Linked DNA regions of Stegostoma tigrinum. The protein of the gene in region 2 interacts with the protein of the main gene of each other region in a pairwise test. Links are inferred from orthologs where the notes say so. Each region holds a gene or a part of one and is shown on either strand. Other genes may lie near its edges.

What was found.
Region 1: the proteins of pogzb (region 2) and creb1b interact in a two-hybrid assay, tested with the Homo sapiens proteins (2 studies listed by BioGRID and IntAct). The link is inferred for Stegostoma tigrinum from reciprocal best matches to the Homo sapiens genes POGZ and CREB1.
Region 3: the proteins of pogzb (region 2) and nuclear transcription factor Y subunit alpha-like interact in binary tests that used the Homo sapiens proteins (3 or more experiments, as listed by UniProt). The two-hybrid records come from large-scale screens. The link is inferred for Stegostoma tigrinum from reciprocal best matches to the Homo sapiens genes POGZ and NFYA.

Annotation. Positions count from the first base shown.
Region 1 is NC_081360.1:14,408,191-14,416,583, reverse strand, and holds the start of creb1b (cyclic AMP-responsive element-binding protein 1b), read right to left. Parts: upstream 3,171-8,393; 5' UTR 2,992-3,170; intron 2,984-2,991; exon of another isoform or gene 2,900-2,983; intron 2,818-2,899; exon of another isoform or gene 2,746-2,817; intron 2,712-2,745; exon of another isoform or gene 2,514-2,711; intron 1,987-2,513; 5' UTR 1,837-1,986; intron 1-1,836.
Region 2 is NC_081400.1:4,827,181-4,835,124, forward strand, and holds the start of pogzb (pogo transposable element with ZNF domain), read right to left. Parts: upstream 3,269-7,944; 5' UTR 3,001-3,268; intron 1,141-3,000; exon of another isoform or gene 603-1,140; intron 1-602. UniProt on the Homo sapiens protein: Plays a role in mitotic cell cycle progression and is involved in kinetochore assembly and mitotic sister chromatid cohesion.
Region 3 is NC_081374.1:9,815,101-9,822,686, reverse strand, and holds the start of nuclear transcription factor Y subunit alpha-like, read right to left. Parts: upstream 3,241-7,586; 5' UTR 3,109-3,240; intron 3,084-3,108; exon of another isoform or gene 2,147-3,083; intron 1-2,146. UniProt on the Homo sapiens protein: Component of the sequence-specific heterotrimeric transcription factor (NF-Y) which specifically recognizes a 5'-CCAAT-3' box motif found in the promoters of its target genes.

The DNA.
Region 1 (8,393 bases), on a different chromosome or scaffold from region 2:
AAATAGAGCTTTGTTGATACTGACACATACTTGTGTAAAATACAGTAGAGATTACATCTCACACACAACAGTATCATCAGCCACATCATATCTCCAAGCCCAACCTCCTGAATTTACAATACTTAGTCATACACTTGTCATTAAAAATGCATTTACTTAGCCCCGAACTGAGAAAATTACTAAGGGTCTTCAAGGGAGTAAGAAATATCAAAGGGCCAGTGAAACAAAGGAGATATCGGGGACAGGAATAATAGCTCTAGTTTTTGGATGAACGCAAGTTAAGTATGGTGGAGAATGGGATACAGAATTGACAACAGCATATATGAAGATTTTACCTAACGATGGGCTGAGGCGGAGACAGGCATTTTTAATGATTATGTAGGTGACCTTCTTTTGGACCCAAAAATGCAGAAACTGGAAACAGTCTGGTTCAGATAAATGTAACAATTGGAGGAGATGGGAAGGTTACAGTTTTAGATGAACCAAAGAAGTTTAAACTCATCCAAAAGTGGATCAAGCTAGCAAACAGATGACACTAGATTCTCTGTTCAACAGGGAAGGTTGATAATTCCTGGGAGAGGAGAGAGAACAATTTATAAAATCATCTACAGTGACATTTGAGTGGAAGGGCCAGGACCAAGGATGTGATGAGTAAAGAATGGGGGGGGGGGCCAATATCCCGACTAATCAGATATGGGTAAGCAGTTCTTGCAGAAATTGAGGCTCAATGAAGGTTATGATCTGAGCAGATCTGGCAACAGGGTAGTGATGCTACGTGTAGCGCATGTTCGAGCCACTCTGTGGCTCCAAGCAGCAAATTCTGGAAATCTCACCAATTTACTGACCATTGCCTCTGGCATTTCCAATTTACAGTTTACAAACTAGACAAAGTATCTTATGTAAACCTCCATCTGATACATTACAATAAAATAACTGCTGGATTAAAATATTCTGAAAAATAGACACTGTACTTTAACTTGAAACCTATTTGTATTTTAAAACCCTCGATAAATGACTCCCATGATCAAGTCTTGATCTGATAATCAAGTAAATGTGTCCCTTTTAAAAGGCCACATTAATGTAAAGTTTCTAATTCATTACTATATGTAGGCCATATAAATTTACAAACCAACAAAAATACACAGCATCACCTAGCTGTATAAAGTCAAGACCTCAGGGAGAGAAATCATGTAAAATTCAGCCAAAAAAAATCTGACTATTCTGTCTTGAGAACAGCAATTGCTTCATTTAACAAAAAGGCCTGATGGCAAAACTAACTGAAGCAATATTATGTGAATTCAGTCCTTTGTTTATTCTTGAATTAAGCAGCAAAGTGAAAACTAGGCCAATGCAGCATTTAAAACAAAGGTCCCACAGGAAATATGCAAAGAAGATTTGCATACCTGCACATGGTTAATTGTTTCAGAATTCATGCTACATGGATACACAGGATTACTATAAAACAAAATAAATATTTCAACTACCTTCAAATTATTACATTAAACATTTTAATTCTGAACTGGTAGAACAAATCCATGGAGGATCACATGGGTTGAAACATACTCGTTAACTTTTAATCTGCATCATTATTTCAGTTTCACTGTTTAAACAAAACTATAGCTGTTTGTGGCACCGTTCATCATGGCGAAAATGTATTATGGGCGCAAGCAATTTTGCGGATATGTTGTAGGAAATATACGAGATCACTAACAGTAGTTGAACTACATTCTTTCACTTTTTAGAAGACTATTAATCCAAGAAGCGTGGATTTCTGTACTGCTGAAAGAATTTATATTATGAAACATGTTTTGTGGAGTTTCAAATGCATTTCCGCACCTCAGGATTCGGGGGAGATGGGGCTCTTGCACAGCGAGATTCCAACACGGGCAGGGCACTGCGCGATTTTTTGGGGGGCGATTTAAAAGCAAACGTGTGTAGAAATTACAGTCATGGCACAGGAAACAACGACCCGTGATCTTCTCACTTCTTGCTCACAGTAGCGGTCCGACGCCCATTTTATTTTAAACACCAAATTGAGAGAGAGAAAAAAAAAGTGATGTTGCAATAGGAACAAGCCAGTTTCCCTGGTGGCTACATTTCTTAAAACGTGTTTAGAAACCGAAAACTGGGAGGTGTTTGTTGGGGGGGGGGTGGTGGTGGTAGTTGGTTAAGAAATGTTAATGCATAAGATTTTTGGCGGGGACTTTTCTGTAAAACGAGGGGTGGGGGGCGGGGGAAGGATTGGTTTGTGGGAAAGGGGGGGGTGTGTTTTCTTTTCGATATAAACATTGCTGGGGGGTGTTCCTGGAGTAGAAACGGGGAAGAGTGAGAAACCCTTCTCGCTCACTCTTTCTTTCCAATCCAGGAGCCCTGTTCACTAACAAGTCAGCCGCCATTGTTCAGATGCAAGCTGCTGTTCACTCACCAACACCACCACCTCCTCCTCCTCCTCAACACCGCCCCTCCACACCCACACCAACCCATCTATCTCTCTCTCGATTTATCTCGCTTACCGGTTTTATTTCCCTCAAGTCCCCGGCTCTCTCTGCTGCCACTGGACACTCACACCGAGACGTAAACACCGCGTCAGTCCCTTACACCTCCACCGCGTCACTCACTCACACAGTCAGTCAGCCTCTCTCTCTCTCTGACTGAGACGCTCCCGGCGCAGACAGAGGAACGGCAGGGATGTGTGCTGGTGGAGCGGGGGGGGGGGGGGGGGGTGAAAGGGAAGGAGCAACCTACTTGTGCGCAGTCGCTAAACTCCCCATCTCCCCCCAACAACACGCTCCAGCTTCCGGAAACTGCGCGTGCACGCACCCGCCGTGGACAGTGGGGAATCCCCGCCGCTACCGCCAGGCGTCTTTTGCATCAAACTGCGCAAGCGCACAACTAGAGACCCGCGCGCGGCCGCCGCCGACCCTATTTCAAACTCCAACCGCCCCAGCGCGTTCCCAGTCCGGGCTGAGCCGAGTCGCGCCAGGTACGCACTGTTGAATCGGTTCCGAATGTAACGTCTCATCCTATTGTCAGTTTCGTTTATGTTTTAAAAATCAGACACGCTTTCTGTCCCCCACCGAACGATCAGGGTGTGTAACTCAGGATGAACAAAAACAAAACAAACAAACGTGAACTCCGGAAAAGGAAAGAGAGCACGCGCAAATAGTTCCTTAATGGAACGTTTGATTACTACGCGTGCGCGCCGCGGCCCCCTTCGCTTGGATCCAACGCCGGGCGGGGGTATATGTACGCATGCGCAACTTTCCCAGCCCTGAATTTGTTTTTATTGGGGGTGTTTGGATATTTGCTGACCAGTAGAGACCCGCATAATAATCGCGGTTAAAAACTGCACCCTTATTTGCAATGTTACTTCCTCTTAAGTATTGAAGAGCCGCCCCACGCGGTCTCAATCACGACTCTCTTGCAGTGCAGTTTACCTCGCCTCTTCCCATGCCATACTCTCTTGCACACCATGAGTTCTTTCCCCGCCCCCTCCCACTACAGCCATGCTGTTCCTCCTTCAAAATATTCCCTTCTTCCACCTCCGTGATAGAAACTTGCGAAATTCTAACATGATGGAACAGATTAGATGCCTGAAGGTGGCGGAGTCCTGAATCAGGAGTCAAAGCTCAAGAATAAGGGGTAAAACTTGCAGTGTGCGATAGGGAGAAGCTTCTTCACGCAGAGAGTGGGTGATTCTGTGGAATTCCCTACCACAGAAAATGGTTGAGGACCAAAGTTGCGTTTTTCAAGAAGAGAGTAGATAGAGCTTTTGTGGCACACGCGGAGAGGGTGGGTTTAGGGCATTGAACTCAGTGGTTTGTCCTGATTATATTGAATGGTGAAGCAAGCTCCAAGGTGTTGAATGGGCTGCTCATGATTTTATCTATTTCCTTGATGGCTCCTCCCTCCGATGCTGTCTCCCCTCGTGATATTCCCTTCTGCCCAGTTGACTGGCATCTCCATTATGCATGCACAGTTGCAGCAATGTGTACCATGGAGACACTGCAACAACTCTGCCAAGACACCTTGGAGAACATCTCAAAAAGTGACCTGTAGTATCTAGTAGGACTAAGACAGCAGAAGCACAGGAATAGCACCACCTGTAAGTTTCCATCTAATCCATACACTCATCCTGACTTAGAACTATATCACTGATCTGCAAGTGTGGCTGGGCTAAAATCCTGGAACTCACTTAACAATGCTTTGGTTATGTGTCTTCCCCCATCAATTGCAGTGATTCAGAAATGAAGATTAGCAATACCCTCCCCATGCAGCCGATACCTGCATCTAGACAACAATGTGGAAAACTACCAAGGTAGGTTCTGTATGTAGTAAGCGAGACAATTCTAACCGAGCTAATTACTTTCCCTTCAGTCCACTGTCCAATCATTAGTGAAGTCATGGAAGGTATTGTCAACAGTGCTGTTGAGCAGCACTTACCAAGATGTGCTTACTGATGATCAGAGATAGTAAGAACTGCTAGTGCTGGAGTTAGGGATAACACTGAAGGTAGAGAAGCGCAGCAGGCGTGGCAGCATCAGTGGAGCAGGGAAGTTGAAGCTTCGGTTCAGGACCCTTCAGAAAAGAAAGGTACCGACCTGAAACATCAACTTTCCTGCCCCTCTGATGCTGCCTGGCCTGCTGTGCTCCTCCAGCTCCAAACTGTTATCTCTTACTGATGATCAGTTTTGGTTCCACAAGGACCACTCAGCTGCTGACCTCATTTCAGCCTTGGATCAAAATGTACAAAGCTGAATTCCACAGATAAGGTGATAGTGACTGTTCTTAATATCAAGGCTGCATTTTACGTGAGTGTTATGTAAAGGATCCTGAGCAAAACTGGAGTCAGTGGCGATCAAAAGGAAACCTGGTGGTTGCAGTCATATGTCCACAAAGAAGGATGATTGTAGTTGTTGGAGTTTGGTCATCTCAGATTCAGAACATCTCTGCAGAGTTCCTCAGGGCAGCGTCCTGGGCTCAACCATCTACAGTTGCATTATCATTGGCCTCCCGTCATTCATTTATGTCTGTGCAATATTCAACACCATTCGCAACTACTCAGATACTAACATAATCCATGTCCAACTGCAGCAAGATATATTTAAAAAGAGAGTGAGGCAAAAGACAGAAAATTACAGGCCAATTAGTGGGTAAGAATTTGGAGTCTATTGTAGTGGATGAGATTTCTCAATATCTGGAAATGTATGGTAAAATAGGGCAAAGTCAGCATGGTTTCATCAAGGGGAGGACATTGCTGACAAATCTGCTAGAATTCTTAGAGGAAATAACGAGCAGGGTAGTTCAAGGTGAGTCAATGGATATTATCTACCTGGACTTCAAGAAGGCCTTTGACAAGGTGCTGCGAAGGAGGCTGCTGAGTAAGATAAGGGTCCATGGTTTAGAGGCAAGGTGCTAGCATGGATAGAAGATTGTCTGTCTGGCAGAAAACATAGAGCGTGGATAAAAGGGTTTTTCTCAGGATGGCAGCCAGTGACAAGTGGTGTTCCACAAGAGTCAGTGTTGGGACCACAACATTTCACTTTATACTTAATAATCTAGATGAAGGAACTGTGGGCATTCTGGCTAAGTTTGTAGACGATACAAAGATAGGTGGAGGGGAATGTAGTATTGAGGAGCTGGGGAGGCTGCAGTAGGCTTTGGACAGGTTAGGAGAGTGGACAAAGGAGTGGCAGATGGGGTACAACGTGGGAAAGTGAGGTCATGCAGTTTGGCAAGAAGAATAAAAGCATGGACTATTTTCTGAATGGGGAGAAAATTCAGAAGTCTGAAGTGCAAGGAGACTTGGGAGTTCTAGCCCAGGATTCTGTCCACTTGCAGGTTGAGTCAGTAGTTACGAAGGCAAGTGCAATGTTGGCATTTATTTTGAGAGGACTTGAATATAAAAGCAGGGATGTACTACTGAGGTTTTATAAGCTCTGGTCAGGCCATTTTTGGAGTATTGTGTGCAGTTTTGGGCCCCATATCTCAGGAAGGATGTACTGGCTCTGGACCGGGTTCAGAGGAGGTTCATGAGAATGGTCCCAGGAATGGAAAGCTTAACATATGAGGGACATTTGAGGACTCTGAGACTATATTCATTGGAGTTTAGAAGGGTGAGGGGATCTAATGAAAACTTACCGAATACTGAATGGCCTGAACAGAGTGGATGTTGGAAGATGCTTCCATTGGTAGGAGAGACTAGGACCCAAGGGCTTAGCCTTAGAGTAAAGGGAAGACATTTTAGAATGGAGATAAGGAGAAACTTCTGCAGCCAGAGAGTGGTGAATCTATGGAATTCAGTGCCACAAAAGGCTGTGGAGGCCAGGTCATTGAGTACATTTAAGACTGAGATAGATAGGTTCTTGATTATCAAGGGGATCAAGGAGGGACAGCATGTTGAGGAACTTATCGGCCTTGATTGAATGGTGGAAAAGACTCGATGAGCCGAATGGCCTAATTTCTGCTCCCATTTCATATGGTCTTATGGACAGTATTCACATTTGTCTGACAAGTGGCAACAAACATTTCCACCAAACAAATACTCGGAACTAACTATATTCAACATCAAAGAATCTAACTGTTATTCCTTGACATTCAAAGGCATTACCATCATTGAGTTACCATTTAAACAAAAACTGAACTGGTCTAGCTATGTAAATACCTTGCCTACCAGAGTAGGTCTATGGTTCGGAATACTGTAGTGAGTTACTCACCATCTGATTCCGCAAAACCTATCCATGATCCACAAGACGCAAGTCAGGAGTGTGATGAACTACTCCCCACTTACCTGGATGAGTGTGGTTCCAACAACAGTCAAGAAGCTTGACACTATACAGGACAAAGCAGCCCGCTTGATTGCCATCACATACTGAAATATCCACTCCACCACTGACACTCAACAGCAGTTTGTGTGTGGAATGAACTTCCTGGCGAAGCGGTGGATGTGGGTACAATTACAACATTTTAAAACCATTTGGTTAAGTACGTGAATAGGAAAGGTTTGGAGGGATATGGGCTAGGAGTAGACAGGTGGGACTAGTTTGGGATTAATTTCGGCATGGACTGGTTGGACCAAGGGGTTTGTTTCCATGCTGTATGACTCTTTGTATCACAGAAACTTACCAAGGCTCCTCACTGGGCACTTATAAATGCACAAGTATTGCCATCTAAAGGACGTGGACAGCAGATACATGGGAACAACACCACCTGCCAGTTCCACTCCAAGCCACTCACCATCATAAAATAGTTGGTGATTCCTTCATTATTGTTGAGTCAAAATTTTGGATTTCCCTCTCTAACAAGAAGGCAGCTCATCACCATTTTATCAAAAACAAATAGGGATGGGTAATAAATGCTCGTCCAGCCAATTACAGCCATATCCCATGAATTAACAATAAAAACAGATTTCTGCATCCACCTGCAGTTGGGTTAAGTAGTATAAAGTACTTGTGTGAAAGGAATGATTCCAGTATTGTCCCCTTAAACCAGAATGATTAGTATGTGTCGGAGTGATACTTTAGCTAACATTGTTGGGTGGTATTAGGGCATCTTTAGTACTTACTAGCCAATCTGTGGCTAAGAGGTAGCAATCTTGTTTCAGATTCGGGTAGTTATGAGTTCAGTTTCACTGCAGCCTGAGCACAAAAGCAAAGATTATCTCCACAAAGGCAGTAGTGAGGTAGTACTACACTGTCAAGCATCAGTACTGAGGGAACATTGCACTGGAGGATGAGATGTTATGCCATTTACCACTCTTCTATCTCCTATGAAGACCTCAAAAAAGAGTAGGAACTTTTTCTTTGATAACAAAGTGTGGAGCTGGATGAACACAGCAGCTAAGCAGCATCTTAGCAGCACAAAAGCTGACGTTTCTTTGATCTCCTGACAAATGCTTAACCTCCAATCAACATTGCAAGAATAGATTTTCTGGTCATTGTCACATTACTGTTTGTGGGAGGTTGCTTTCAGAAAAAAAATGGCTGCCACATTTCTGACATTACAACAGCAACTATAATTCAAAAATATGTCACAGGGTGCAAAGCTTTTGCGATGTCCTATGATCATGAAAGATCCTATTTGAATACGAGATTAGGTTTGGACTGTGGAACAATATTGAATAATTGTTTGATAGTTGTTGTTAATTCAGAGGAAAGCATAACTTATAGAATCCGGACAGTGTGGAAGCAGACTATTTGGACCATCAAAGCCACACCAACCCTCTGAAGAGCATCCCACCCCACCCTATCCCATCTGTGTAACTCTGCATTTCCCATCTAATCCAGCTAGGCCGCGCATCCATGGACACAATGGACAATTTGGCATGGCCAATCCACCTAACGTGCACACCTTCTGACTGTGAGAGGAAACCCACACAGGTACAGGGAGATTGT
Region 2 (7,944 bases):
AGATTCAGGACTTTGGCGGGTACTGGGTAACCACTAGGCATGGGAAACCTGAAGAAGCTCACTGGATCAGCGTGAAGATTATTGGAAGATTATTGCTCTGAGACATCATCTTGCCCTCACCTCACCTCCATTCAACTCATTTAGGCAAATTTCACATCTTTTTGGGAACTCTCCAACATCCAGATTACAACATTGTAACATCAGCAACTGTAAAGCCACCCTCCTCCATTCACTTCGACAGAATGAACCAACGAGCTACATAACATTCAGCTAAGGTAACAAGAAGGTCCAAACACAAGATTAAGTCGGCAAGGTGCGAAAAGGGAGCAATCCGCAGTGGTGGCGGCAACATTTCCTATGAAGAAAATCTACCAAGGGAGTCACGGCAGGGATTCCCAGCCACAAACGGCAAAAAAAAATTTCTGCCCATCCTTTATCCTTCACAGGCACACAGTCCATTGAGGCCATTCGCGCCCGAATTGCTGCAAACCCAATGAAGGCAGATGCTACTCAGAACATCATGCTTCTTTGAAACAGCTATCCTGCTCACGGCATATCCTCACCCTTGCACTTTACAAACGACAAAAATTCCGGGCACTTGCCTGATTCCCTCTCTAATCTTTCTGCCACGTCGCCTTGGAAAGGAATCCCAAAACCTCCTGAAGGACTTTAAGTGAACTGTCGCGTGCTTCTCGAATCTGGGGCACGTGGATCGGAACACTCTCCTGCAGCCAACAGTCACCCACCCCCCATAAACACCACCACGCAAACCGTAAAAGTGACCTGCCTTTTCCAAATCAATGCAAACCTTCTTGGCAGGACAAGAGAGGAATTTTTCTTTTCAAAATTAGTTAAAATCCTTATTTTCATTTTGTGGGGGAAAAGTTTGCAGAGATGAAGTGATACATTTAAGGAAAATGCAAAGGGAAGAAAGAAGAAACTGTACCACAAAGGAAGATATGAGCGAAAAAAGACCTGACAGGGCCTCAGAGTGAAGACAGAAGAAAAGGAATACGAAAGAGGGTCATTTTGGAGTGGAATAAGTAAAAAAAGAAGAAAGAAGAAAGTTTAAAAATGCATGCGTAGAATAGGGTGAGAAGAATTTACTTGATTTTTTTTTGTTTGTCTGAATTTTTGTGCAGGAAATGTGGGGAGGTGGTGGGAAAACACTACAAGAAAACACCCCATAAAAGTCTTCAAGCCAGAAGGAAATGCCCACAGTCAGCCATGTCGGGGGGGGGGGGGGGGGAGGTGAAGAATACAAGGGAATATTAAAAAGACAGGCAGGAAGAGGAAGTGGGGAAAAGAAAAGCAATATTGAAAAAGGGGGAAGGGGTAAGAGGGAGAAAGTTAAAAAGGGTAGGGGAGAATATTAAAAGAGACAGGAAGAAAGGGGAGAACATTTTTAAAAATGACCGGGAATATTTAAACAAGGTGGAGATATTGAGTGTAAGAAAGAAAAAGGAGGGTATGGAAAGGAAAGGAATATTTAAAAGAGAAAAGGAACAGAAAGAAGGGGCAAGGTGAAACTATTTTGAGAAGGAAATAGAGGGAGAAATATTTACAAGAAGTCAGAGAAGGATATTTAAAAAAATGAGGGGGGAATGTTCTAAAAAAAGAAAAGGGAGGGGATATTTAAAAAACAAAGGAAAGGAATTTCAATAAAGGGAAATAGAACATTTTTAAAGAAGAAAGGGAAGGGGGTAGATAGAATGAGTATTTTGAAAAAACGGGAGGGGAAGAGAGAGAGAGAGGATATTTAAAATAAAAAGGAAGGGAGGGGGAAGAGAAGGCATATTTAAAAACAGAAAGGAAGAGAGAGAATAGAGGGAATATTTAAGAAATGAAGGGGAGAAGAGAGGCAATATTTAAGAATTGAAGGGGAGAGGAGAGGGAATTTAAGAAAAGGAAGGAAGGGGGAGGAGAGGGAATTTTTAAGAAAAGGAAGGTCAAAAGAGAGGGAATATTTAAAAAAAACAAGGGTAGGAGGAAGAGAGAGAAAACATTTAAGAAAAACATAAGCTTTGTAGAGAAGGGGAATGTTTAAAGGAAAAGGGGATTTATTTAAGAAAGGGAATGGGGGAAGAGGGGAAATTTCTGGTTTTAAAGTAGGCGGAGGAGAAAGAACATTTTGGAAGGAGCAAGGATATATTAAGAGGGAATTGGTGGGCAGGGGGGTCAGAGGAAAACACTGTTGGGGGGGTGGATGTCAAGTTAATAACAGGAGGATTCAGAAAGAAAACTGTTGCTGTGGGGGGTGTCAAGTTAATAAAAAAGGGGGATTTAAAAAGAAAACTGTTGTTGTGGGGGGATGTCAATTTAATTAAAAAAAGGGGGATTTAAACAAAAACTGTTGTTGTGAGTGGGGGATGTCAAGTCAATAACGGGGGATTTAAAAAGGAAACTTGTGGTGGGGATGTCAAGTTAATAACAGGGGATTAAAAAAGAAAAGTGTTGCTGGGCGGGGTGTCAAGTTAATAACAGGGGGATTTAAACAAAACTGTTGTTATGGGGGGGGGTGTCAAGTTAATAAAAGGGATTAAAAATGAAAACTGTTGCTGTTTCGGAGATGAAAACGCCCCGTTCGAGCTTTTGAAATTCTGGGGGGGGGGGGGGGGGGGGGGGGGGTGAAGAGAAAGAAAACCGTGACCCCCGCCGCGATCGAGGTCATTTATTTTATTTTATTTATTTATTTACCCCGCAACCTTAGTTTTCCAGTTGCCCCTCCCCCCTCCTAAAATGGCGGCCCTACCCCTCCCCCCACCACACACACAGACACAACCACCTCCCGCCGGCGCGAGAGGCCGCCCGCAACCGCCCCCCCCCCCCCGCCGCCAGGTCCGTTTCAAACCGCCGCGCGCCGCTTCCAACCGTAAAACCCAATTTGAAATTCAACCGTCAACCGTCGCCCCCACCCCGCGCCGCGCGCCGCCCGCCCGCCGCGCGCCTTTTTTCACCGCCCCCCCCCATCCTCCTCCTCCTCCTCCTCCTCCTCCTCACCTTGCTACGAGACGATGTTTTTTTTTGTTGTTGTGTGAGGGGGGGGCGGAATTCTAAAGGTGGGGGGTTTGCGTTTGTGTGTGTTGTGGTGGTGGTGGTGGTGGGGGGGGGGGAAGAAATGTGTGGGTTTCTTGAAACGGAACAGGAACGGTTTCTCTCCGTTTTTCCAGGCCCCCCCCAGGGGCGGGCACGCGCGCCACACACACACACACGCGGGGACACGGTTTTGTTTTTTTGGGGGGGGTCCTGCGAACGGCGGCTGCGTCACTTCCGCTTTCTCCGCCAGACCCCATCCCCTTTTTTCCTGGGTCCGTGAGGTCACTTCCTGCCACCACCTCCTCCTCCTCTTCCATCGTTGACATCCCATAATTGGTGGAAGACAAGGTAAGATTCCCTTTCCTTTCTTCTGGTGGTGCATCAACTCTACCCCCCCCCCCCAACTCAATCCATCTTCCACCCCCCCCCATTGCAACCATTAGTAACACTCCCCCCCCCCCCATCACCACCATCTCTCCACCTCACCCCCCCCCATCACCACCATCTCTCCACCTCACCCCCCCCCATCACCACCATCTCTCCACCTCACCCCCCCCCATCACCACCATCTCTCCACCTCACCCCCCCCCATCACCACCATCTCTCCACCTCACCCCCCCCCATCACCACCATCTCTCCACCTCAACCCCCCCCCATCACCACCATCTCCCTACCTCACCCCCCCATCACCACCATCTCTCCACCTCACCCCCCCCCATCACCACCATCTCTCCACCTCATCCCCCATCACCACCATCTCTCCACCTCACCCCCCCCATCACCACCATCTCTCCACCTCACCCCCCCCATCACCACCATCTCTCCACCTCAACCCCCCATCACCACCATCTCTCCACCTCACCCCCCCCCATCACCACCATCTCTCCACCTCACCCCCCCATCACCACCATCTCTCCACCTCACCCCCCCCATCACCACCATCTCTCCACCTCAACCCCCCATCACCACCATCTCTCCACCTCACCCCCCCCCATCACCACCATCTCTCCACCTCACCCCCCCATCACCACCATCTCTGTACCTCACCCCCCCATCACCACCATCTCTCCACCTCATCCCCCATCACCACCATCTCTCCACCTCACCCCCCCATCACCACCATCTCTCCACCTCACCCCCCCCATCACCACCATCTCTCCACCTCAACCCCCCATCACCACCATCTCTCCACCTCATCCCCCATCACCACCATCTCTCCACCTCACCCCCCCATCACCACCATCTCTCCACCTCACCCCCCCCCCATCACCACCATCTCTCCACCTCACCCCCCCATCACCACCATCTCTCCACCTTAACCCCCCCATCACCACCATCTCCCTACCTCACCCCCCCATCACCACCATCTCTCCACCTCAACCCCCCATCACCACCATCTCTCCACCTCACCCCCCCATCACCACCATCTCTCCACCTCACCCCCCCATCACCACCATCTCCCTACCTCACCCCCCCATCACCACCATCTCTCCACCTCACCCCCCATCACCACCATCTCTCCACCTCACCCCCCATCACCACCATCTCTGTACCTCACCCCCCCATCACCACCATCTCTGTACCTCACCCCCCCATCACCACCATCTCTCCACCTCACCCCCCCATCACCACCATCTCTCCACCTCACCCCCCATCACCACCATCTCTCCACCTCACCCCCCATCACCACCATCTCTCCACCTCACCCCCCCATCTCCTTCTTTTCTCTACCTCATCCCCCATCACCACCATCTCTCTACTTCACCCCCCCATCACCACCATCTCTCCACCTCACCCCCCCCCATCACCACCATCTCTCCACCTCACCCCCCCCCATCACAACCATCTCTCCACCTCACCCCCCCCCCATCACCACCATCTCTCCACCTCACCCCCCATCACCACCATCTCTCCACCTCACCCCCCCATCTCCTTCTTTTCTCTACCTTATCCCCCATCACCACCATCTCTCTACTTCACCCCCCCATCACCACCATCTCTGTACCTCACCGCCATCACTCTACCTCACGTCCACATCACCACCATCTCTCTACCTCACGTCCACATCACCACCATCACTCTACCTCACGTCCACATCACCACCATCACTCTACCTCACGTCCACATCACCACCATCACTCTACCTCACGTCCACATCACCACCATCACTCTACCTCACGTCCACATCACCACCATCACTCTACCTCACGTCCACATCACCACCATCACTCTACCTCACGTCCACATCACCACCATCACTCTACCTCACGTCCACATCACCACCGTCACTCTACCTCACGTCCACATCACCACCATCACTCTACCTCACGTCCACATCACCACCATCACTCTACCTCACGTCCACATCACCACCGTCACTCTACCTCACCCGCATGATCACCGTCTCTCTACCTCACTACTCCCTGATCACCACCCTCACTCTCCCTCACCACACCCATCACCACCGTCACTCTACCTCGCCACCCACCATCACCCTACCTCACACCCATCACCACCATCACTCTACCTCGCCACCCACCATCTCTCTACCTCACACCCTATCACCACCATCACTCTACCTCACACCCATCACCACCATCACTCTACCTCACACCCATCACCACCATCACTCTACCCCACCAGGGTCCATCATCACCGTCATTCTACCTCACCACCACCCCCCCATCACCACCATCACATCTCTCTACCTCACCCCCCATCACCACCATCACATCACTCTACCTCACCCCCCATCACCACCATCACATCTCTCTACCTCACCCCCCATCACCACCATCACATCTCTCTACCTCACCCCCCATCACCACCATCACATCTCTCTACCTCACCCCCCATCACCACCATCACATCTCTCTACCTCACCCCCATCACCACCATCACATCTCTCTACCTCACCCCCCATCACCACCATCACATCTCTCTACCTCACCCCCCAACACCACCATCACATCTCTCTACCTCACCCCCCATCACCACCATCACATCTCTCTACCTCACCCCCCATCACCACCATCACATCTCTCCACCTCACCCCCCCATCACCACCATCACATCTCTCTACCTCACCCCCCATCACCACCATCACATCTCTCTACCTCACCCCCCATCACCACCATCACATCTCTCTACCTCACCCCCCATCACCACCATCACATCTCTCTACCTCACCCCCCCATCACCACCATCACATCTCTCTACCTCACCCCCCATCACCACCATCACATCTCTCTACCTCACCCCCCATCACCACCATCACATCTCTCTACCTCACCCCCCATCACCACCATCACATCTCTCTACCTCACCCCCCATCACCACCATCACATCTCTCTACCTCACCCCCCCATCACCACCATCACATCTCTCTACCTCACCCCCCATCACCACCATCACATCTCTCTACCTCACCCCCCATCACCACCATCACATCTCTCTACCTCACCCCCCATCACCACCATCACATCTCTCTACCTCACCCCCCCATCACCACCATCACATCTCTCTACCTCACCCCCCATCACCACCATCACATCTCTCTACCTCACCCCCCATCACCACCATCACATCTCTCTACCTCACCCCCCCATCACCACCATCACATCTCTCTACCTCACCACCACCCCCCATCACCACCATCACATCTCTCTACCTCACCCCCCATCACCACCATCACATCTCTCTACCTCACCCCCCATCACCACCATCACATCTCTCTACCTCACCCCCCATCACCACCATCACATCTCTCTACCTCACCCCCCCATCACCACCATCACATCTCTCTACCTCACCCCCCCATCACCACCATCACATCTCTCTACCTCACCCCCCATCACCACCATCACATCTCTCTACCTCACCCCCCATCACCACCATCACATCTCTCTACCTCACCCCCCATCACCACCATCACATCTCTCTACCTCACCCCCCATCACCACCATCACATCTCTCTACCTCACCCCCCCATCACCACCATCACATCTCTCTACCTCACCCCCCATCACCACCATCACATCTCTCTACCTCACCCCCCATCACCACCATCACATCTCTCTACCTCACCCCCCCATCACCACCATCACATCTCTCTACCTCACCCCCCATCACCACCATCACATCTCTCTACCTCACCCCCCATCACCACCATCACATCTCTCTACCTCACCCCCCCATCACCACCATCACATCTCTCTACCTCACCCCCCCATCACCACCATCACATCTCTCTACCTCACCCCCCATCACCACCATCACATCTCTCTACCTCACCCCCCATCACCACCATCACATCTCTCTACCTCACCCCCCCATCACCACCATCACATCTCTCTACCTCACCCCCCCATCACCACCATCACATCTCTCTACCTCACCCCCCAACACCACCATCACATCTCTCTACCTCACCCCCCCATCACCACCATCACATCTCTCTACCTCACCCCCCCATCACCACCATCACATCTCTCTACCTCACCCCCCAACACCACCATCTCTCTACCTCACCCCCAATCACCACCATCACATCTCTCTACCTCACCCCCCCATCACCACCATCACATCTCTCTACCTCACCCCCCATCACCACCATCACATCTCTCTACCTCACCCCCCATCACCACCATCACATCTCTCTACCTCACCCCCCCATCACCACCATCACATCTCTCTACCTCACCCCCCCATCACCACCATCACATCTCTCTACCTCACCCCCAATCACCACCATCACATCTCTCTACCTCACCCCCCATCACCACCATCACATCTCTCTACCTCACCCCCCCATCACCACCATCACATCTCTCGACCTCACCCCCAATCACCACCATCACATCTCTCGACCTCACCCCCCATCACCACCATCTCTCCACCTCACCCCCA
Region 3 (7,586 bases), on a different chromosome or scaffold from region 2:
ATCGTGCTTAGTTGTATCTTCTTCACTCTTAAGATCCTGGGGTTTTGTGCAGCCTTGTCAATGTTTCAATTCAACCTTTTATGTACACGCTGCACGTGAACTTCAGAAACCATGTTTATAGTCAAATGCTTCTTTCACCACAAATGCTGCTAGACCTGCTGAGCTTCTCCAATACAAAGCATTTGCTTGTTTGGGTATAGTTGACACTATCAAGGATAAGCAGTCCATTCCACAGACATATTAAATGCTGCTGTCATGACATTATAACGAACGAGCAGAAAAGCTGATGTTTTGAAGGGTCTAGACTTGAAACATCAGCATTCCTGCTCCTCTGATGCTGTCTGGCCTGCTGTGTTCATCCAGCTCCACACCTTGTTATCTTGGACTACAGCACTGGCAGTTCCTACTATCTCATGGCAAGTCACCAAAGTTTCCTCATTAGCACATTTCACACACAGAACCCCAGCCATCGAAGAACAACAGACACAAAGGAAACCAGGACCAAGAAATACACCATTCTCACTTGGATACATCACCATTCCTTCACTGTTGCTAGAGCTCCTTCTCATTGTATTGTGGAAACCTTCATTAAAACATACTATACATTCAAAGATGACTCAACAGCTTCAAGGACAACTAGGGTTCAAAAGTTAAATAGTGGTCTTCTCAAAGATGTTCACATCTTGCTCAGTGGTTAGCACTGCTGCCTCACAGCACCAGGGACCCAGGTTCAATTCCACTCTCGGGCGACTGCATGGAGTTTGCACAGTCTCCCCGTGTCTGTGTGGGCGTCCTCTGGTTTCCTCCCGCAGTCCAAAGATGTGCAGACTAGGTTGATCGGTTATGATAAATTGCTCGTAGGGTACAGAATGTGTAGATTAGTTGCATTATAGGGAATGAGTCTGGGCGTGATGCTCCGATGCGCTGTCTCGACTTTTTATGCCCAAGGGCCTGTTTCCACAATGCAGGGATACTACAATGGTAGTGGTCGTACTACGACGACGATAATCTTGAAAAATAATGTATATCAGAAATTCGTTTGTTACTTTTCTTGTAAGTAGTTATCAAATGCGTGTGGATGCAGACATTAAACCAACTAAAAAAATTAATTAAAATTTTAGGCATTCCATGATATATTGAGCTGGAAAAGCATAGGCTCCAATTGCTTCCAGAGTCTTTTTGTTTTAAGCACTTTAGATTTTTTTTAAAAAATGCAATTTGAATATAGAGGGAATCCATATCAAGCTTGAGATCAATACATTTTTAGCATCAATGAAAGTGGGTGTGGCAAATAAGACAGCTTCAAATTTCTACACTCACATGAAACCCACTTTTCAAAGTCATCACTGCGCTGAATACAAGTGTTCAATTTTTGTTACTGAATCACCTTAAAGCAATAACATCCTTCAAACCAGCAGACAATCCAATCCTGTTAATCCTAATTGGAAGCCTTGACATACTACAGGTAAAAATCTTTTTAAAAGGTTATTTCAATACTTTTCCATCATCTTAAACAATTGTTTCTATTACCAACAACTACTGCACAATTTGAAGTGCATTCTACAAAGATGCCTAAACATGAAATGGTCAATCCATAACTTCAAATTTTCCAGGTTTAATAAACCTATAATAGATCAATTTATTTTAACATCTTATTCAGAGAGGTAGAAAATTTAACACCCTAATTATAACTCTCAAGTGGCTATCATTAACAGTTAAAATTCATATCAATTCCCAACTTTATCTTCAGATTCAGAACCAGGTGAAAGCTTTCAAAATAGATTTGGAAATACCAAATGTATGATATTTTTAAAAAAAGTTTAATACAACAGTCAGCTCAAAAATTTTAAAGGGCAAAACAAATCTCTTAAAGCAAACTACTGGACAAAGACTGGGAATTAAAATTTAAACGCCAGATTGTTGGTACCTAAACTAATCACGATTGGAGCCAGACACCTGCCCACCCAAAACTTACAAACCAACAACATCATAATTTAAGTGCAGCATGTCAGACAAACAACTTTCACAGATGAAAATACGTTTATACAACTGACAACTTCCTTCAGGAGTTTAAGTTAGAAATTTCTAACAAATTTTGTCTAATAGCGACTAGTAGATCGGTCTTAGAAAGATCACACCAACATACCAGCATGCATGCATACAAGTTTCCCCGTTAACAGGAGATTTGAAAGTTTCTCTATGTTCGTCATTAGTCCTCCCGACATTTCACAAAGAAATGTAGCATCTTTGATGATAACTCTGTATTTGCGAGGCGTTACAGTTTGCATTCCCACAGCGCTCCTCACATACAGTAAAGGTATCAGAGCAGGATACAGATGACCAAGTGATTTGAAAGGACAGTCTGGAGCAAGGGGTGGTGAAGAAATTGAAGGTGGAACAGCACCTCCTTCCACCTGGATCAATACCCAGGGTGTATCCAGTCAGTAGCGCAGAGACAGCCTGCGAAGTGAGAGATTGAGAACAAGACGGGCTGCACTGCCAGACCGGACAGTCTCACCCGCCATTTCAGAGCGCGAATACCGTGCGTACACTAACACCGATTTAAAAAGAAATCGTTAATCACGTCAGGAGGAATCGACATCGACCCCCATCCTGAAGCAACAACCGTCGACTGACGGCCCATGAGCGATCGGGGCGGCGGAAACAGACATTTCCTTACCCCGACCCCACGCAGCCGCCATTTTACCCCCTGTACAGGGGAGATGGGGGGAGGAGAGGGTGGGGAACGCGGGCCGAGAAGAGTGAACGGCAAAGCGGACCGAAAAGGGTGAATGGGGGTAAGCAAAGAAAGACAGCAGCGGCAGAACAAAAAAAAAGAGAAAGGACGGGAATGAAATTTTTTTAAAAAAAATCTGCGCTTGCTTCCCGCCAAAACCCTTTCCCGCTCGGTGATTTTTTTTCCCCCCACTCTTGAATGTATTCGCTTTTCGATCTATCCAATCCCGATGCCGAAATGGAAGGGGAATGAAAAAGGGGGGGGGGGTGTCATAAGTAACTACCCCCACGCCGTATCACTGCCTCTTCTCACTCCCATTTTCCTGTCCAACTCCAGCTCGCAGCCTGTTGGCAGCAATTTGCCGGACTTACCCCGCGCTTTTGCCCCTCTGATTGGCTCCGGTATTAAACACAATGCCCCGGCGGCGAATAGGAACACAGCAGCACAAGATGGCGACCAACTGCGAGCGGCCTTCTCCTTCGCGAAACCGCTTGTTGCGCATGCGCTCTCCGGCCGGTCGTCTTGTTTTGGGGGGGGGGGCACTGAGTCTCCGGGGAGGCCACGCCACTGCACCTGCGCGGCATTGGCTTCCTCCTCCAGCGGGTTAGGGGGCGGGTGGATCACACTGCGCAGCTGCAAAGGAAAAAAAAAGGTATGACTCACGTGGTGCTGCTGGTTTACAAGGACCCCGGCGCCCGCAGGGCACGTGACTCCTGTGCAGTGCTGCCGCCATCTTGGTAATGGATTCTTTTTCTTTCGCGTCTCCGTTGGGCTTCCAGTTTAGCTGCTGTCGTTTCTTTCTGTGAAGTTGTGTTGTTTGCTTCTGTGAGTAAGAGTTACCAGCAGGCATCCTTTGAGTTGAGGAATAGGCAAGACGGTAAGTCACAAGAAAGTGCCTTGTGATAAGCCCCATCTGTTGAATAATAGGTTTTGGAGATTTGTTGATGTCCCTGGCAAGGCCACCATTTATTGCCCTCTCCCAGTTGCTGAGGGAGCAGTTTCAGAGTCACCTACGTTGCTGTAGGTCTGGGTTCACATGTAGGCTAAACTAGTATTCGGGCTGAGGGTATTGCTGATTAGGCTTAATTGTGTAGCGAGTTGTAAAGAGTCAACCTGAGGGCCTGGAGTCATATGTATGCCAGGCCAAGTGAGGTTGGCGGTTTCCTTCCCTAAAAGAACGTTACTGAGCCTGGTAATTTTTTTTTCCCCAGTGAGTGGCAACGGTTTTGTGCTCATCTTTAGACTTGTGATTCTGGATTTTTTTAAAAAAAATTGAATTCAAACTTCACTGACTGTTGTTAGGGGATTCAATGCAAGGTCCCCTGAGCACTACCTGGATCTCATGATTAGTACTCTAGAGATAATACCACTGGACTATTGCCTCCCCTAAGTTGCTCAAGGTCCTGGAAATAACTGTGAACCAGGAATTTAACCTGAGGGAGGAACTTGCAAGAGTTACCATGAACAGGGAAATGGTACATAATTTAATTGTTTTAACTGTGAGTTGACAAGTCCCCAGATCCATTTTTTTTTGTTCTTCGTTCATTCATAGGATGATGGTGTCACTTAGCAGGTAACATTTATTGCCCATAGGGCAGTTAAGAGTCCACCACATTGTTGTTGGGTCACATGTAGACCTGACCAGGTAAGGATGGCAGTTTCCTTCCATAAAGGATATTAGTGAGCCAGATGAGTTGTTTCCAACGACTGGCAATGGATTTATAGTCATCTGATTCCATCATCTGCCATGGTGGGATTTGAACAAGGCCCCCAGAATGGTTAAGATAATAAAATGTGAGGCTGGATGAACACAGAAGGCCAAGCAGCATCTCAGGAGCACAAAAGCTGACATTTCGGGCCTAGACCCCACCTCTCTGATGAAGGGTCTATGCCCGAAACGTCAGCTTTTGTGCTCCTGAGATGCTGCTTGGCCTGCTGTGTTCATCCAGCCTCACATTTTATTATCTTGGAATTCTCCAGCATCTGCAGTTCCCATTATCTCTGATACTATTTTAACCCCCAGAATGTTACTTAGGTCTCTAGATTAACAGCCCAGTGATAATACCACTAGTCTATTACCATCCCCAGCTTCACCCTAGGTTCTTAAAAGGCGTGAAGTAAAATAAATAACAGCACTACCAGAAATGTTACACAAAGGAGGAAGTTGCTAGAGAAACTCAGCAGGTCAAGCAGTACTTGTGCAGGAAAAAACAGGTAATGTTTTGAGCCTAGCAACCCTTCTTTAGTCCAGTGATTCTGAGTGGTGTTGGTATGTTGATGATGTGCCTGGGTTAGAAATGCAGGGGCTTTGAACTAATACTTACATGATGTGGGTTCACATCCCATAGTTGCATTTAAGGGTGGCATAGTGATTTAGCACTGCTGTCTCACAGTGCCAAGGTTCAATTCCAGATTTGGTCTGACTGTGCAGAGTTGTATGTTCTTTCCTTGTCTGTGTGGGTTTTCTCCACACTCCAAAGATAAGCGGGTTGGGTGGAATGGCCATGCTAAATTGCCCACAGTACCTGGGGATGTACAGGCTAGTTGTATTCACATGTTAAAATGCAGGGATGGGGGGGTGGAATGGGTCTGGGCAGGATGCTGTTCGCACTGTCAGTATAGCCTTGATGGGCTCAATGGCCTCTATCTGCACTGTTAGGATTCTGCTTTTCTTCAGAATGAACTTGGACAGTCACTGGACTCAAAATGTTATCTCTGTTTTCATCTCTATTGCCTGACGACCTAAGTTTATCCAGTACTCTGCTTTTGATTCTTAAAAAGTGAAGCTGGTTTTGAGGTGCTGAACTGAAATATTAACTTCTTCCTCTCACCACAGATGCCACCAGACCTAAGTTTCTCCAGCATTCTCTGTGTTCTTTTCAGATTTCCAGCATCCTTAAATATTTTGCTTTTAACTTGTACAGCTAGTCAGAATGTTTAAGCATTGGTTTTAATTTTCCAAATAGCAGCAAATGTAACTCTATTATTCGAAAAGGGAGACAGGTAGAAAAGAGGAAATTATATACTAATTAGCTTAACATCTGCCATAAATAAACTTACAGAAGCTATAATTAAATATGTCGAAGGGAAATCATGTTTAACTAATTTTTTGGAGTTCTCTGAAGAAGCAAGATAAAAAGTAACCAGTGGATGTGTTAAATTTCCAGAACCATATGATAATGGAAAATAAAAGCTCATGATGAAGACTGTAACATATTGTCTTGAATAGAGGATTTGCTGGCTAGCAGGAAAGAATAAATGGGTCTTTTCCAGACTGGCAGGATATCGATGGTGTGCCATGGAAGACAATGCTGGGGCCTTAGATAACAAGGTGTAGGGCTGGATGAACACAGCAGGCCGAGCAGGAAAGCTGATGTTTCGGGCCTAGATGAAGGGCCTAAATGTCAGCTTTCCTGCTCCTAAGATACTGCTTGGCCTGCTGTGTTCATCCAGCCCTGCGCCTTGTAATCTCTGATTCTCCAGCATCTGCAGTTCCTATTATCTCTAATGCTGGGGCCTTAACATTTTAAAAGTTTTAAAAATGGCTTGGATGAAGGCACTGAAGGAATGGTAGCTAAATTTGCTGATTACCCAAAAATAAATCCAGAATGTGAGCTGTGAAGAGGACAGAAGGGATATGAACCAGTTGTGAACTAGCAAAAATCTGACCGATTGTGTACAATGTGGAGAGGTATGAAATAGTTTTTTTTTCCCCCTGCCAAAATAGACTATCTAAATAGTGAGAGGCTGCAGTGTGATCTGGGTGGATTGCAGAATGTCAGTATACACATGCAACAAGTAATCAGGAAAATTGATTAGAACATCTTGGCTTAATTTTTAGGGGAATTGAATGCGAGAGTACAGAGGTCATACTTCAGCTATAGAGAGCATTGGTGAGACTGCATCATTTGGATTATTGTACAGCACAGGTCACCATGTGCATGCAAGAATGTTAACATATTGGAAGCAATTCAGGGAAGGTTTATTAGCTTTATTAGCTTAATTTTATTATCTTAATACCTGGAATGAGTGGATTGCCTTCCGAGGAAAGGCGAGACAAGCAAAACGTGTGTTCTTTAAAGTTTTTAGAAGAGTCTGTGATACATTGGAAACGTAAGATCCTGATGGAACTTGACCAGGTGGGTGTTGAAAAGATATTTCCTCTTGCAGGAGAATATGGATCATAATTTTAAAAAAGATCACCCATTTAAGGAAAAGATTAAAACATTTTTCTTTATAATTCTGTTTCTCTAAAGGCAGTAGATGCAGAATCTTTAAATATTTTTTAGGTGGGAGGTGCATAGTTTCTTGATTACCAAGAGAATGAAAGATTATGGGGGATATGCAGGAATGAGGAGTTGTGGTTCAAATCAGATCAGTCCCAATCTTATTGAAAGGCAGAACTGGTTTTAAGGGCCGAGTGGCCTACTCTTGTTCCTTGTTTGTATGTCCATGTGACCTGCCAATTCCTGAGAACCATTCACTACACTTCACAACTGATGTATAATTATGGTTAACATGAGGAAAGGGTGAGTGGCAGTAGATGTTCCACAAAATCACACCCCTAAATAGCACTTAGAAACCTACAGGAAACCTTTGGCCCTTTGCTCCATCATTAAAGTCCTGGCTGGTCTTTTTCCCCAATTGCTACATCCTGCAACATCCACATATCGCTCATATCTCTTAGTATTCAAAGATATATAATTCTCTGTCACGAATTTTTTTTTAAATTTCATGGGTGTGAGCATCATTGGTAAGGTAAGACTTTGTTGTCCTTCTTTAATTGCCCTTCAGAAGCTACTGTTTTGTTTTGAACCGCTGAGGCCATCTGGTATTGAATAATTCACAG